Linked DNA regions of Daphnia pulex. The protein of the gene in region 3 interacts with the protein of the main gene of each other region in a biochemical or structural test. Links are inferred from orthologs where the notes say so. Each region holds a gene or a part of one and is shown on either strand. Other genes may lie near its edges.

What was found.
Region 1: the proteins of calmodulin (region 3) and transient-receptor-potential-like protein interact in a test that uses a peptide from one of them, tested with the Drosophila melanogaster proteins (2 studies listed by BioGRID). The link is inferred for Daphnia pulex from reciprocal best matches to the Drosophila melanogaster genes Cam and trpl.
Region 2: the proteins of calmodulin (region 3) and myosin heavy chain 95F-like form a complex in vitro, tested with the Drosophila melanogaster proteins (2 studies listed by BioGRID). The link is inferred for Daphnia pulex from reciprocal best matches to the Drosophila melanogaster genes Cam and jar.

The regions. Positions count from the first base shown.
Region 1 is NC_060025.1:5,640,305-5,644,687, reverse strand, and holds the start of transient-receptor-potential-like protein, read right to left. Parts: upstream 2,900-4,383; 5' UTR 2,838-2,899; intron 2,093-2,837; 5' UTR 2,092-2,092; coding exon 2,032-2,091; intron 1,763-2,031; coding exon 1,641-1,762; intron 711-1,640; coding exon 599-710; intron 530-598; coding exon 452-529; intron 385-451; coding exon 328-384; intron 156-327; coding exon 13-155; intron 1-12. UniProt on the Drosophila melanogaster protein: A light-sensitive calcium channel that is required for inositide-mediated Ca(2+) entry in the retina during phospholipase C (PLC)-mediated phototransduction. Required for vision in the dark and in dim light. Binds calmodulin.
Region 2 is NC_060017.1:3,746,039-3,750,322, forward strand, and holds the start of myosin heavy chain 95F-like, read right to left. Parts: upstream 2,900-4,284; 5' UTR 2,692-2,899; coding exon 2,617-2,691; intron 2,388-2,616; coding exon 2,204-2,387; intron 2,141-2,203; coding exon 1,937-2,140; intron 1,869-1,936; coding exon 1,704-1,868; intron 1,610-1,703; coding exon 1,333-1,609; intron 1,270-1,332; coding exon 1,216-1,269; intron 1,152-1,215; coding exon 797-1,151; intron 731-796; coding exon 112-730; intron 34-111; coding exon 1-33. UniProt on the Drosophila melanogaster protein: Myosin is a protein that binds to actin and has ATPase activity that is activated by actin. Together CLIP-190 and jar may coordinate the interaction between the actin and microtubule cytoskeleton.
Region 3 is NC_060018.1:7,623,596-7,627,955, reverse strand, and holds the start of calmodulin, read right to left. Parts: upstream 2,836-4,360; 5' UTR 2,594-2,835; coding exon 2,591-2,593; intron 2,024-2,590; coding exon 1,849-2,023; intron 1,561-1,848; coding exon 1,318-1,560; intron 653-1,317; coding exon 624-652; 3' UTR 1-623. UniProt on the Drosophila melanogaster protein: Calmodulin mediates the control of a large number of enzymes, ion channels and other proteins by Ca(2+). Among the enzymes to be stimulated by the calmodulin-Ca(2+) complex are a number of protein kinases and phosphatases.

The DNA of each region.
Region 1 (4,383 bases), on a different chromosome or scaffold from region 3:
CATGAAAATTACTGAACGTCATGTGGGACTGGTATTGTTGCTCCACGGTCCAGCAAAATCTTAAGAATCTCGTAGTTATTACGATGCGCTGCCAGAATAAGAGGGGTAATATCAGGAGTAAAAGAAGAAGTGGTCCGATCCACGTTCTCCCAGCTCTGAAACCAAATAGTAAAGACACCAAAATACAGAAGATTAATAATTTGAATTTTGAGTTTTGGTACGCAAAACGCAACTGATCAGTTCACATCGCTTAGATCGCTATATGCTGGTTATTAATGGAAAGTTGCTAAAACATATAATTTTAAATCGTTAAAAAATACGACTTACGTATGGATCTCCTTCTTTATGAATGAGCTCCTCGTGTTCCAGAAGAAGCTCCACGGCCTAAGATGAATTTGAAACATTTAAATTTCAACACTCATTTTTATTGCGCTGGTCATTTTTGCTCTACCTCAACGAATTCTTTGTCGATAGCATGAAGCAAAGCATCTCTAGTGGCAATCCCCATCACTACCAATAACTCCACCATCTAGTTTAAAAAGTAAGTAATCGATTATTTTTTAAACCTCGATTGGTTTCCTAAAAATGTACTGATAACCTGTAAATTTTCATTATCAATAGCCATAAGGAGAGCCCCTCGTCCTAGAGGATCCACGCAGTTCAAGTTAATGGAATTACCGCAAAGTCCTCGCTTAACTCGGTGGATTATTCTGATACACGAGTATTGAGACAAGTTTCAAATTACAAATACATTACATAACTTATACATCACACACAAATTATAAAATTGAAATTGTTACCGGTACTGTAAATAAGCATAATCGTGAATTGAAGTGGTCATTTATAATTATTAAGCAATTAAATCGCATATCATTGATGTAAGCTACTAAAACTGATTAATCCTTATCACAATTATTAATTGTGAAATAAATATCTTGTGATTGCAATCACAGTTATAATTGTGATTGATTATCAACGTAGTGTACGTGCGACGAAAAAACAAAACACAAATAACAAACATTTCTGTCTTGCGACTTGGTATCATCATCGTCCAAGTAAATTCATTCGACGGCGATGTGTTGAGAACGGGGTTGAGAACTAATTAGATTCTATAAGATATTACTGAAACTTGATATACATCCAATAATACCCCATTTTTCACTTTTCATACATATTTTTTTTATTCCCTGGAAGTGATGAAACTATATCCGGTCAGCTAGCTTTTGCCAGACACGGACCACTTTTCTGCAAACTCATTTCTCAATGGTCTTCTTTCAGATAACGAAAACATAGTGTGGCGCAAATGCTGAAATTTGGAGGCAAATTATTTCTAGTTACTGGCAATAACAAATTTTTACGATTTCGTTCCACTTTTAATCGTTATACGTCAGTTCGAATTATAAACGCCAAAAACATTCCGTTTCCGCAAAATGAGCATCGCGGAATGTCTTAAGAAGGAGAAAAGTGTTAAATCAAGTGTGTGTTCGTGATTACCATCAATCATTATCATCGAAGGAAATGGTTTGTCTACATCCACATTAGAATTTGCAATGATCCTAATACTTTATTTTCTCCATCAGCCAAAAATTGGTTTCCCGTGCACCATGAATTGAGTTGTCTGATTTTTGATGAACGATTACCTTTTAACAGTAGTGAGATCTCCTCGTTCAACTGCTAGCAGGAATTTTTTTTCCTCGAGTGTCAATGATTTGGGTAGTATAGGCATCTTAAGGTCACGAAAGCTCTCTGTTCGTATACATCCCTGAAAGCCGTTTTCGTAAAAAAAGTAATTTTAATACTGTATACAGTCAGTGTACCATACTTAATTTCTATCTCTGAGAAATAAAAAAATGACTTCTCCTTCATAAGAGTTCATTTTGCTAAAAGGCAGAGACAGAAAACAGAAATCGCTCACTGCAGCGCTAACTTAGAACGCTAGGAGACTCGCGGAGAGAATGAGCGGGTAAAAAGTAAAAAACTCTTTCAATCCAGTTGTGAGTCACTAAAAAAAAGAGTAAGAAAATCGGAAACCTCTTCGATGTTGCTGAACTGCGGGACGACGTCGTCACCTTTGTTAGGAGGTTTCTCCATTCTTTTCGAACAAAATCCGGAATAATAATAGAAACAAAAAATATTAACGAACAATAATTAAATCTAGGTTTACTCATTTCACTTATACAGAAACTGTCAAAAGCATAGGATAAAAATTTCTTAATTGTATTCATATTTATTAAAATATTTTTTAAACAAACGTTCAAATGTAGGCTTAACTGAAGCTTAGGTATGAAAGAGAATAGGTTAACTTTTATGATTTTTTTGCTATCCCCCGTTCTGTTTTTCGCTAATAAATAATTTTTTTTTCAGCTATTGAGGACATTTGGGCGGATTGAGACATTCAATTTTTCACTAGATTACGCACAAAATTGCGTGCATTACGACTAGATGCAAATCCTAATTACTATTTCCGCAAAAACGAAACTCAAAAATCTATTCTGATTGAGTCACGGACTCGTGGTGAAACGAAGTTTTTACAGCAAAAAAAAAAAGTTTTTCCATAATTTTTTTTTCTAAAGTGTGAATACAATAATAGATAAATATAAAAGCCATTTCTGAGTCTTAATGAAGTTATCATTTCTGAGATACGGTTTTCATTATATACAACATATTTTAATTAGAACTATATTCACTATTGAAAAATCACTTAAAATATTTATAATGTTAAGACTTTATTTTATGTAACTAAAATTATCAAATAAAGTTCTATTGTAAAATTGCGATGGATTCCAATTTCCAAGTATATATATATGGGTGATTTTATGAAGAAACTTGACGCTCACTTGCATGAAGAAGAATTCGTAACTGACTAGTGAACAGAATTGCTGGATTTCTTATATACAGGGAGAAAGCAAGCGACCTTGGGTATTTAACATTAAACAATCAGATTATGTACACATGCCACTACGAAGTGGGTGAAGGTGTTGGAGTGGGTGGTATCACCCAGGCTTCATTTGTGAGGATTCATGTCCCCAACTAATTGAATTAATGTCCTTATTTAGCTCAACCTGGTACTAGAGATCCGACGAAGCATCACATATTCATTTCCTGGTTTTGTATTTGGGTCTACAGCCCCAAAATAATTTCGCTCTGTCAAGAAGACATTCACACACGCATGCGTCTTCAATCGCGCGCGGAACACTACTAGCGTGCATTTATTTAAATAACACGATAAATTAAATGTGCTGCATTGATACAAGAAACACTTTTTTTCAGAGTTTTCTTTGTGTCAACTACAAAAAAAAAAAAAAAATACATTCATAGGGACCGGTCAAATCCTGGAACGCATCGGATCCCGGACAGCCTTGATTTTTCTTAAGATTGGATCAAGAAAATTTCATCCACCGCGAGCAAAATCGACTCATTATTTACTTACTTCGATATATTCTTACTATATCTTCAACGCTTTTACTTCGATTATTTTCTTTTAAATTAAGGTAATCGTCACCGTCCCCACTATTTTCTTTATTTAAGCGATTTCTATGTGCTCACAATGAAGGTAGTCCTTTATTTTGGGTTGACCGTCATCTTGACTAGTTGAGTGTCTAGTGTATGGTATAGGGAGAACGCGGAAGCCCCTATTTTCGCTAAAAGACGACTGTTACCACAGACTACGAAGTAAAGACAACAATCGTCTCCATAAGCCTGAGAGGAACCGTCTGAAGCGATGCTCCTGCTTGCCGGCAGGGGTCAGGTCGTCCGATTCGGCAAGGTGATCAATCGTTTTACCGTTGCTCTACTGATTACGTGCTTCAAACACACGTATTTTTGGGTATACAGTACCTACCGAAAGTCTTTGGAAGCCCGAGAGGACCTTATGAAAAACGCTGTTTTTTCAGTCCTCTCAGTACTACAGTTTTTAACCAAATGCTTTCAAATTTGGTATGTACATAGGTAGAGGTAGTGAGAACACCTCTGATTTTTTTCTGATTTTTTTTAAAATTTTCCGAGGTACTTATGACCCGTTCTAAAAGTCGTTGGAAAGCCGAGAGGATCTTATGCAAATTAGGCCACTTTGGCCTTTTTTTGCAGTTGAACGGCTAGGGCTAGGAAAACATGACTTAAAAAAAATAGACCTGCGTTAGCTCTATAGATGTTATTCCAACGAAAAAGTAGTAGTCGAGTAAAAAGTCGTGCGCAGTTTACGCCGATGCGCACCACTGCGGCCGATAGCAGAACGAAAATTTTTATTACGCTTGACTCTTAACGTAGGTACAATCCTTTGGTCAAGAATCGTCTGCTTCTCCCAGCCCTCCCCGCTCCCTCCCAGCTCCCTGCTCCTCCAAGCCAAACAGTTTCCCGACATATGGATAGTTGGCTCAAAACAAA
Region 2 (4,284 bases), on a different chromosome or scaffold from region 3:
GGGAGCTGTTGCTTGTAGAGGCCACAAACAAACCTGCAAAATACGTTAAATTTTCCAATTTAATAACGATAGAACTACAATTCAAATGTGGATATTTCCAAAAATAATCACTTTTGAGAAAAGGGTTGTGGCTCTCCTGGATGATGCACTCGAGGGAAGCGTGAAGGGCATCATTATTTTTTTCAATGAACTTGGCCGTCTGGTAGCAAACAGCTCCGGCAAAATGACGGATCAAAAATCCTTCGTCATCGCGAATTTCCCGGTGGTCCCGCAATTTAGATTTTCGTGGCAGAGCTAAACGGAAGTGGTTAGGGTTGGCCGAGTGAACGGTGGAAGTGAAATGCGTATGGTTCGATTTAGGCAACTTTGATTCTTCATCCAGGAGATAAAATATTCCGCTGGTGCGGGCCTCAATCAGATCGATGCAATCCTGATTATCTACGTACACGATTTTTTTAACACCTAAACCCTCCTTATCATACAAAAGTTGTTCCTCCTTCAAGATTCGCTCGTTGAAAAACTGTTGTAGTTTTTCATTGCAGTAATTGATGCAAAATTGTTCAAAACTGTTGACGGTGAAATACTCGAAGCCGGCAATATCTAGTACACCGACATAGTGCATGGATGACTGGAATGGAATGCTTTGGTTGATCCGATGGACGATATAGTCAAATAGGCGGCTATAAATAGCTTTTGCTAAAGCATCACGGGCATTGCTGGCTTCGAAAACCTAAACGAAGTTAGCACATGTGTTCAGTACACGGAATGAATACTCAAAATATCGAGGCATGAATACCTTCAGTGGAACCATGATGACAGTACCCTTTATGCCTCCTTTACTTGGCTGCATTACTCGGGAAAGTAGGGCATGATGGAGTTCTTCTGGATCCACACCGATCAAAGCCGAGGCGTTTCGTAATGCTTCATGGCTGGATTTCGCTATTTGACAACCACCACGGGCATCTTCAGCATTGTCTTCGAATGTTATATTTCCAAGATGCAGAATTGCGGCTACGGCAGAATAAATAGCAAGTTTCTCATCGTCCGACATCCCTAAATTACTCAATGCTTTGTCAGTTTGCTTGAAGTCGTTGGCATCGTCCAGCAATGGATCGTTTAACGATCCTCGGCTTCGATGCTCTTTACTCTTCCTGAATATTACAAATTATCAATAGGAAATTTTATACACTTATTTAGAAAAATGACAACTATTACCTATTAGGATCTATTGAGCTATCGGAACCCTTTGAAAGAAAATACTGGGTACACCTAATTTAATGTGGTTAATAACGATAAAAATTTAATTGAATAAAGCTATTAATTGTGGCATACCCTTGAGAAAGGTAGTGAAAGTGGTCAGGGCTACGCAACTGGAGTTGTCCCTTGAGCTTTTCAGAAGCGCCAGCACACAGTTGATAAAAAAAGTGATAGTTGCGCTCTTCTTTGCTTTGTGTCACAATACGCGACTTCTCAAGTAAGTAATGAGATATAAAGCCACCAGCGATGGTATATTTGGATGTAAAATGGATTTCAATAAATTTTCCAAAACGACTGCTGTTGTTGTTTCGCGTAGTTTTAGCATTTCCAAAAGCTTCCAAAAGTGGATTAGCTGTGTATTAAAAAAAAACGTTATCGTTATCCTAGGTTTAATGGCCACTTTAAATCAAATCAACGATCAAGATTCAAGATCTATAATTTTTTACCGTCAAGAATTTGTTGTTCAATAGGTCCAGCTGACAGCCCCCCTGATTCACAAAGATACCTAAGGATATACTTGGTTGATTCAGTTTTTCCAGCTCCAGATTCTCCCGACACCACAATGGACTGGGATTGTTTTAATACTCTCATATCCCTAAAAGCTTTGTCAACTGCATACATAAAATAATAAAAAAATAAGTAAAGTATTATTTGTTAGCATTACTGATGAACTATTTACCAACAGCAAACACATGTGGAGGCAATGTTCCAAGTGATTTCCCTTGGTATTTCTTGATAGCATCTTTGCTATAGAGCCCCTTGATTTCAAAGTAGGGATTCACTGCAATCAGAATGTTAGCCACATAAGTGTAAATTTGATCTCTCTTGTAGCGTAATGCAACATTGTTGAGAAAAGTGGCTTCATTTAGAAACATCAAAGAACCTATGAAATACAAGTTATGATGATTATTAAAATTTCATGGTGAATCAACAATAAAAATATTACAATTGTCATCAACATCTTTGTTGTCGTCTTCTCCTGCAGGATACACACGATCATATGGACACCTAATCTCCTTCAATCCTTGTTCGATAGGCAGGACAGTTATTGCTTCACTTCCCAAATCTACTATTTTGCCCAATATGAAACCTCTGTGAACATCAGGAACCCACACTTTTTGGTTATCCATCTGAAAAACACAAAAAAACACAAACAGCAGATCAATTAATAAAAAATTCACAACATTGAACCTTGACTGTCAAATTTTCAAAAACATTTTCAAGCCATAGCGCTCAACGCGCTTCAATGTTGGGGTTTCATTTGTCAACCACTAGACTGCTATAGCCGACAAAAGCGACAGGTTACCAGGCCACATAATTGAATAACGAGCCTTTGTGTTCCTGTAAATATTTTCGTACCATCACTTTTGGTGTTACCGGCGCATTTTCGGGCGCGGAAGACGATTCTTGTATCTTACAACCTTTTGCTGCCATACTAAAGTTTGTTTGGTACAATTTCGATTCGCATTTGCACAAGTGTCAGCTTGAAGTCTCAAACTCCAAATGGCAGAATGACTGCCACAGACAAAAAGCAGAGCAGACGATGATGGAAACGTCATCAAATAGGACCTGTCTATCTAGAGTTTCTAGACTGCCAGAAACCAGTTAACAGTAATCCAGTTTACAACAGTAACAAAGGACAGTAGCAGGTAGCAACAAGGTTGCAACTTTAAATTAATAATTTCAACCCTTACACTTCTTCGTGCATCAGAATGTAAATAAATAGGAAAAAAACCTCGAATAAGGAAATCAGGAAAATCGCTACAAAAAATCCCCATTAAGACAATAACGGAAAATACTTTGGATTATTAGAGATAAAGCAGGAGAATAGGGTTGTCGAACGTTACTCAGATATGTACATATGAAACAAGATATGAAATAAGACCGAACGATCATTTATCGTGCTAGAATAATCTGACATTGCATTATAACCATAGCCATCTGCTAATGCTATTTCGTCGCAGCAGTTAACTATAAATAAGACATTTAATTCTTGAATTTCTAATGACACAAAAGACATGTGTACAACAGGAGAAAGATATTCGGAAACGGGATAAAAAAATAGTTGAAGATTCCGGTGAAAAACCTCAAGGTTGTTCACCCGCTACGAGCGCATGCACAACCAACAGCAGATGGTCGAATGATCATCCTCGTCTTAGCCCACAAAAACCCCTCGGATTCGTTCACATCGCCGTTGCCGCTGGATGCTTTCTGAAAAAAGGTGAAAATCCAGTCAAAGAATTTCGAACACGAAGAGAACTGTTATTATCAGCAGCAGCTCTGGTCTGCTGTGCAAGTGCTATAGCGCAAGGGATATGCCGTGTGGGTTTTGTTTGTTCCAACTTTTCTATCCGTGTGAAATGAATTTCCAACTAGCGCAATAAACTGGCCAGCCCCACCAAACGGAAACGCTAATGATTGATAAAAGGAAGTGGGAAATAGTTGAAACAGAAACCAAAGCACAACGAAATAAGAACGAACAAAAGCAAAGAGGGGGAGGGCCAAAAAGAAGTACAACAAGCGCTTCAATTTGAGGGCAGATGATTTACACTTGGCCAGTCAACCGCTTCGATACACCAGTCGGACCGATCTTCCAGGGCTAGTTTTTTTTTAAGGCCAAACTACCTCATACAAAAGCACGAAGTTAAAGAGAACGGGAAAAAAACGAATCCCGGAGAAAGTTTTTCTTTTTTTTCCCGGGAAAATTTACAAGAACATAAACATGTCGTTGCGGTGATCTCCCATGGGTCATTCAACCATTATCATGTAGTATGAAAATAACTTAAAAAATACTTCTATCTTAAATCTCAAACTATTTGAAAAGTCATAAAATCCAAGTGAAGTCATGTTTAAAAAAAAAGCAATATTTGTTTAGATTACGTTAAACGACACACTCAGTCAGGGATTATTTAAAGATATGATGCCTGTTAGATTTCCTAAAATAATGCCATGAAAATGGACGAAGGAAAGGAGGGGGCTCAGGATGGCAGGAAGTACTAACCTTTCATTTTTCTTTCTCACCTAACT
Region 3 (4,360 bases):
AACAAGTTTTTTTTTATATGAACGAAAGGGTAAAAACGAGAGGAAGGGTTCTGGTTGATGGTGAATGTATCGAATTTCTTCTACAGCTGACGAAAAAATCACTTATTTTTTTAAGACAAATAATTCCCCATGTTATGTTTTTTTTTCTTTTCTTAATCTGCCGATTCGTATTCTGTTTTAAATTAACTTGGTCCAGTATTCCATCCCCGAGCAGCACGGCAGTTCACAACACTACACTGGACGAGCGCAGCTTATATGCATGGGAACCAAAGTGTTTTTAGACAGTAACGTTGACGTTAGTTTTTTTTTACACACAAAATATTTTTAAAAAAGCAAAAAAAAAAGGAAAAAAAAAACTATTTGAAACAGAAATCTGGTGATGTTATTTTCCCTTCACAAAATGGATGCCGCCCTCGAAAGATCAATGACAACTGGCTTATTTTCTTTTTTTTTTTTTCTTTTTCTTGTTTTGCGTATCGTCAGCCGGGTGTTGTTGTAGTCTTACAAACAGTTGCTTTGAAAAGTATGGTACGTTTTGTTGTTGATTGTTGTTTCGGTAAACACAACCACGTCCACGCTACACACGGCTCACTGGGGAAGGGGCACGACACCGCAGGATTTATTCATTTCGAGGTCATCATGGTCACGAATTCTGCAAAGATAAGAAAAATCGTGTTAGTATCATCGATTCCACTATAAACTAGACAAAAGTGGGGGAAAATAGGAGTTGTCCTGCATCGACTATCAAATTTTAAAACGTCTTGGGAATTCAGGTCACATATTAAAGGACCAGGTTGGACTGAATCTTTACGACGAAAGACGATGAATATTTTAGAGGTAACGCGCTAATTTCGGTTTAAAATCGATGCATCATCATGTTTCTAACACCAAAACTGTTTGTGAATGCCTCCAAAATCAGATTAAAATCGGATTAGGTTAAGCCATGGTTGTTAAATAGAAAATTTATAATTGAGTTACGTTGTCACATTGACATTTGTCACAGAGTCTAGAAATTATGCGTCTGTGTACCAACAGAATATTAAAGGTGCGTCTTTGATAGTTTCTAGACACATGGAACCAAAAGCAGCTTTTTAAATTAATATTTCTACTTCCATATTCCACATTATTTTTTGGTCCATCTGGGAAAGTATGGGACCCGCACGTGCATGCAAGAACCTCCCTAAAAATGTGGATATCTGACTATTTGTAAATGCAGGGCTTAGTTAAAAATCTAAGGGTTTAACAGGCGGACAGACGATGTCGACTGCGATAAAAGAAAATTGGATGCAGGTGAGCATGACATATCATAGTTTTTACCTTCATAGTTAACTTGGCCGTCTCCGTCGATGTCAGCTTCGCGAATCATTTCATCGACTTCTTCGTCGGTCAACTTTTCTCCTAGATTGGTCATGACGTGCCGGAGCTCAGCAGCTGAAATGAAACCATTGCCGTCCTTGTCAAACACACGGAAGGCTTCTCGAATCTCTTCCTCGCTGTCGGTATCTTTCATTTTGCGAGCCATCATCGTCAGAAACTCGGGGAAGTCGATTGTTCCGTTACCTTTGGATTAGAATGATAAGAACTACATTAGATTTCTGTATGATTAGAAACAAAATGAACAATAAGAAATGAACGTGGTTCAAAACAATTTTCATTGATATTGAAAACATGCAGCCAGTATTCTCATTCAAGAAAAGTTCTGCGAGCAGAGAGCAGATATTTCAGGAAGTCTTTTGACTGCCAAGAATCAAGCAGTCAAGCCACTTAAGCAGCAAAAACAAACTTGTCAGAATACTTGATAATCTATTGGAGTTGCAATAAATTAGAAAAATTGAATAATGTGTGTACCATCAGCATCAACTTCATTGATCATGTCCTGGAGTTCAGCTTCAGTGGGGTTCTGTCCAAGCGACCTCATGACAGTTCCCAACTCTTTGGTGGTGATGGTGCCGTCACCATCTTTGTCAAACAAGGAGAAGGCTTCCTTGAACTCAGCAATCTGTTCTTCTGTCAACTGGTCAGCCTGTAGAGGTACAAATGTTTCTGGTTAATATAATTGTCTTGAGAATTCCAAGACATTTCAACATGAGTAATAAAGAGAGAGCCTTGATTGGTATTAACATTGCTCAAACCAGACTGTGTAAATTTGCCCTGAATAAATCTAGCAGTACCAACTTTCTCTTTACTACTGGCCTTGTCTGGTCAGTGTGCAACCATATTGTTTGAGAGCTTCAAGTCTGGTTGTGTGCCGAGCTTAAATTGACGTGTGCAGCAGCAAGCTGTTACGAGCTACTCCAAAATTAGAAAAGAAAGAAGCATTCGACATTTCGAGGGCGATGACGGCCAAATTGCCCCCTGTTTCAGTACAACGAGCCGGCAATGTCAAAAGCGACAACTATCTGAGAAGAAAATAGGAAAAAAGAAAAAAAAAAAGAAAAAGGTCGTTTGATTTTACTTCCCCCTCCCCCCGACCCACCCGACTCTTCTCCAGTCATAAAATCTATATTTCCGTCAAGTGTAGGCTAGGCACTAAAAATGGCGGAATTTTCGTGTGCCGGTTGGGAGAGGATGCCGACGTGGAAGTACTTACCATAGTGGATATTATTGGATGAAATAGAGAGTTGTCGGGGAAAAAAACTAAGTTATCCTGGACGACGGGGCAGGAGAGAGAGCAAAGGCGGTACCACAACGAGCAGCGACGGGGGACGTTCACCAAGCACAACAGACGACAGCCAACTGAGCCGAATGCTCGGAGGAAGAGAGAGAGTGGGAAAAGAGGCGGGGCCCGACTAGAGGCGCCACATGCACATTGCGGAGAGGAGGAAGAAGCCCTTTTCTCTCTCTACGTATATTGACCGGGTATAGCGCAACCTTCTTACTATTTCGAATCCTCAAAAAATAAAATAAGTTGACTTTTTTTTTTCTCTCCTTCTTTTACCGTAATTCTTTTTCTAGACTTTCAAAATCGGGAGTCATTGAGCAATGCGGTGGTACACACACACACACCGTCAGGGACGGATCAACTCCGATACAAGTTGTCATATGGCCGTCCCAGCGTCGCAGTAGTATGTATGCAGCACAGTAGACGTCAAGAATGATGAGTATAAGCTCTAAGCTTTTCTATATACCGTCAGTCCATATGAGTTTCGGGTTTTATTATATATATGGAGAGACCATCAGCCCTGAATAGAAATGATATTGCGCTAGAGTGGCGAATGTTATTTGGCGTAATTGCAAAGGCTCGGCGTTATGCTTGACACGCTTCAGTGCGAGACGGAATGTTGTTGACCTTGCTGCTGCTGCTGCTGCTAAACTATACACATGTCTTCTCTCAAAGACATCCTATATATGCGTGGGCTATATTGGTTGCCAATGTTATAAATTCGTACCAACTCTCAGACCGGAAATAAATTCGACCATTGTTACAGGGCACCCCTGTGGGTAAAGTTGGGGTTTTTTTTTATAAAAGAAGTCTAGCCACCAAACTAATAGAAAATCTACATCCTTTTCAAAAGGCTAGAGTAAACTCGCACACTATGGGAAATTCTTGATTTTGTAACTTTCACTTTATACATCCGCCTTGGAGATGTAACATCAAAAACGAAAGTGAGATGTTTCAATGAGAAAATATCATCAAATGAAAGCTATTATTGTAGTACGAATAATGGGATCTATTCAACTGCGCCCCAAAACGTGTCTTTTGTGTAAAGTGTGTACGTATTTATTCATTTTCATTTCGAAACCAAATTCCGACTTAACGTTTCAATCAATCCGCACAAAGTAGCTAAAGTTGAAAAAGTTGGCGCACACACACACACGGGGAAAAAAGGGAAGGAAACGGAATAATGTGCAACTTGTGTTTGCCGTTAACTGAATTATGCCGAAATATCTGAGTGTAAAGTCAAATATTTAAATTCCATCATCGTGCAGAAAGTGTTGGGTGCTGCAGACTTTTCAAATGTAATGCAATTAACTTTCCGCATTGGTACGACATCGCGCCAGTGAAAATAAAAAAAAGGTACGCGACGAATTCGTTCACGCAAGTCAATAAAATGGGAAAAGTCATTGGTAAAATCTAATTTCTATTTGCGGCGGACAAATCAAATCGACGCGAGACCAAAAAGGGTCGGGCGGGTGGGGGGCGATCACCACGGAAATTGTTTTCACTGGTCTTCTTGTTACACGCTGTAAAACTCTGTACGTTAGAAATTCCCCTGGGAACGGCGGCTGGTCCAAAAAATAAAGAGTCAACCGAAAAGAGAGATGACGATTCAGTTGGAAATTCATACAATTAATTCTTTGTTGAGCGTCCAATCCAACATCTGCACTTCCGACATGTCGAGCAAATGTCCATTAGCTA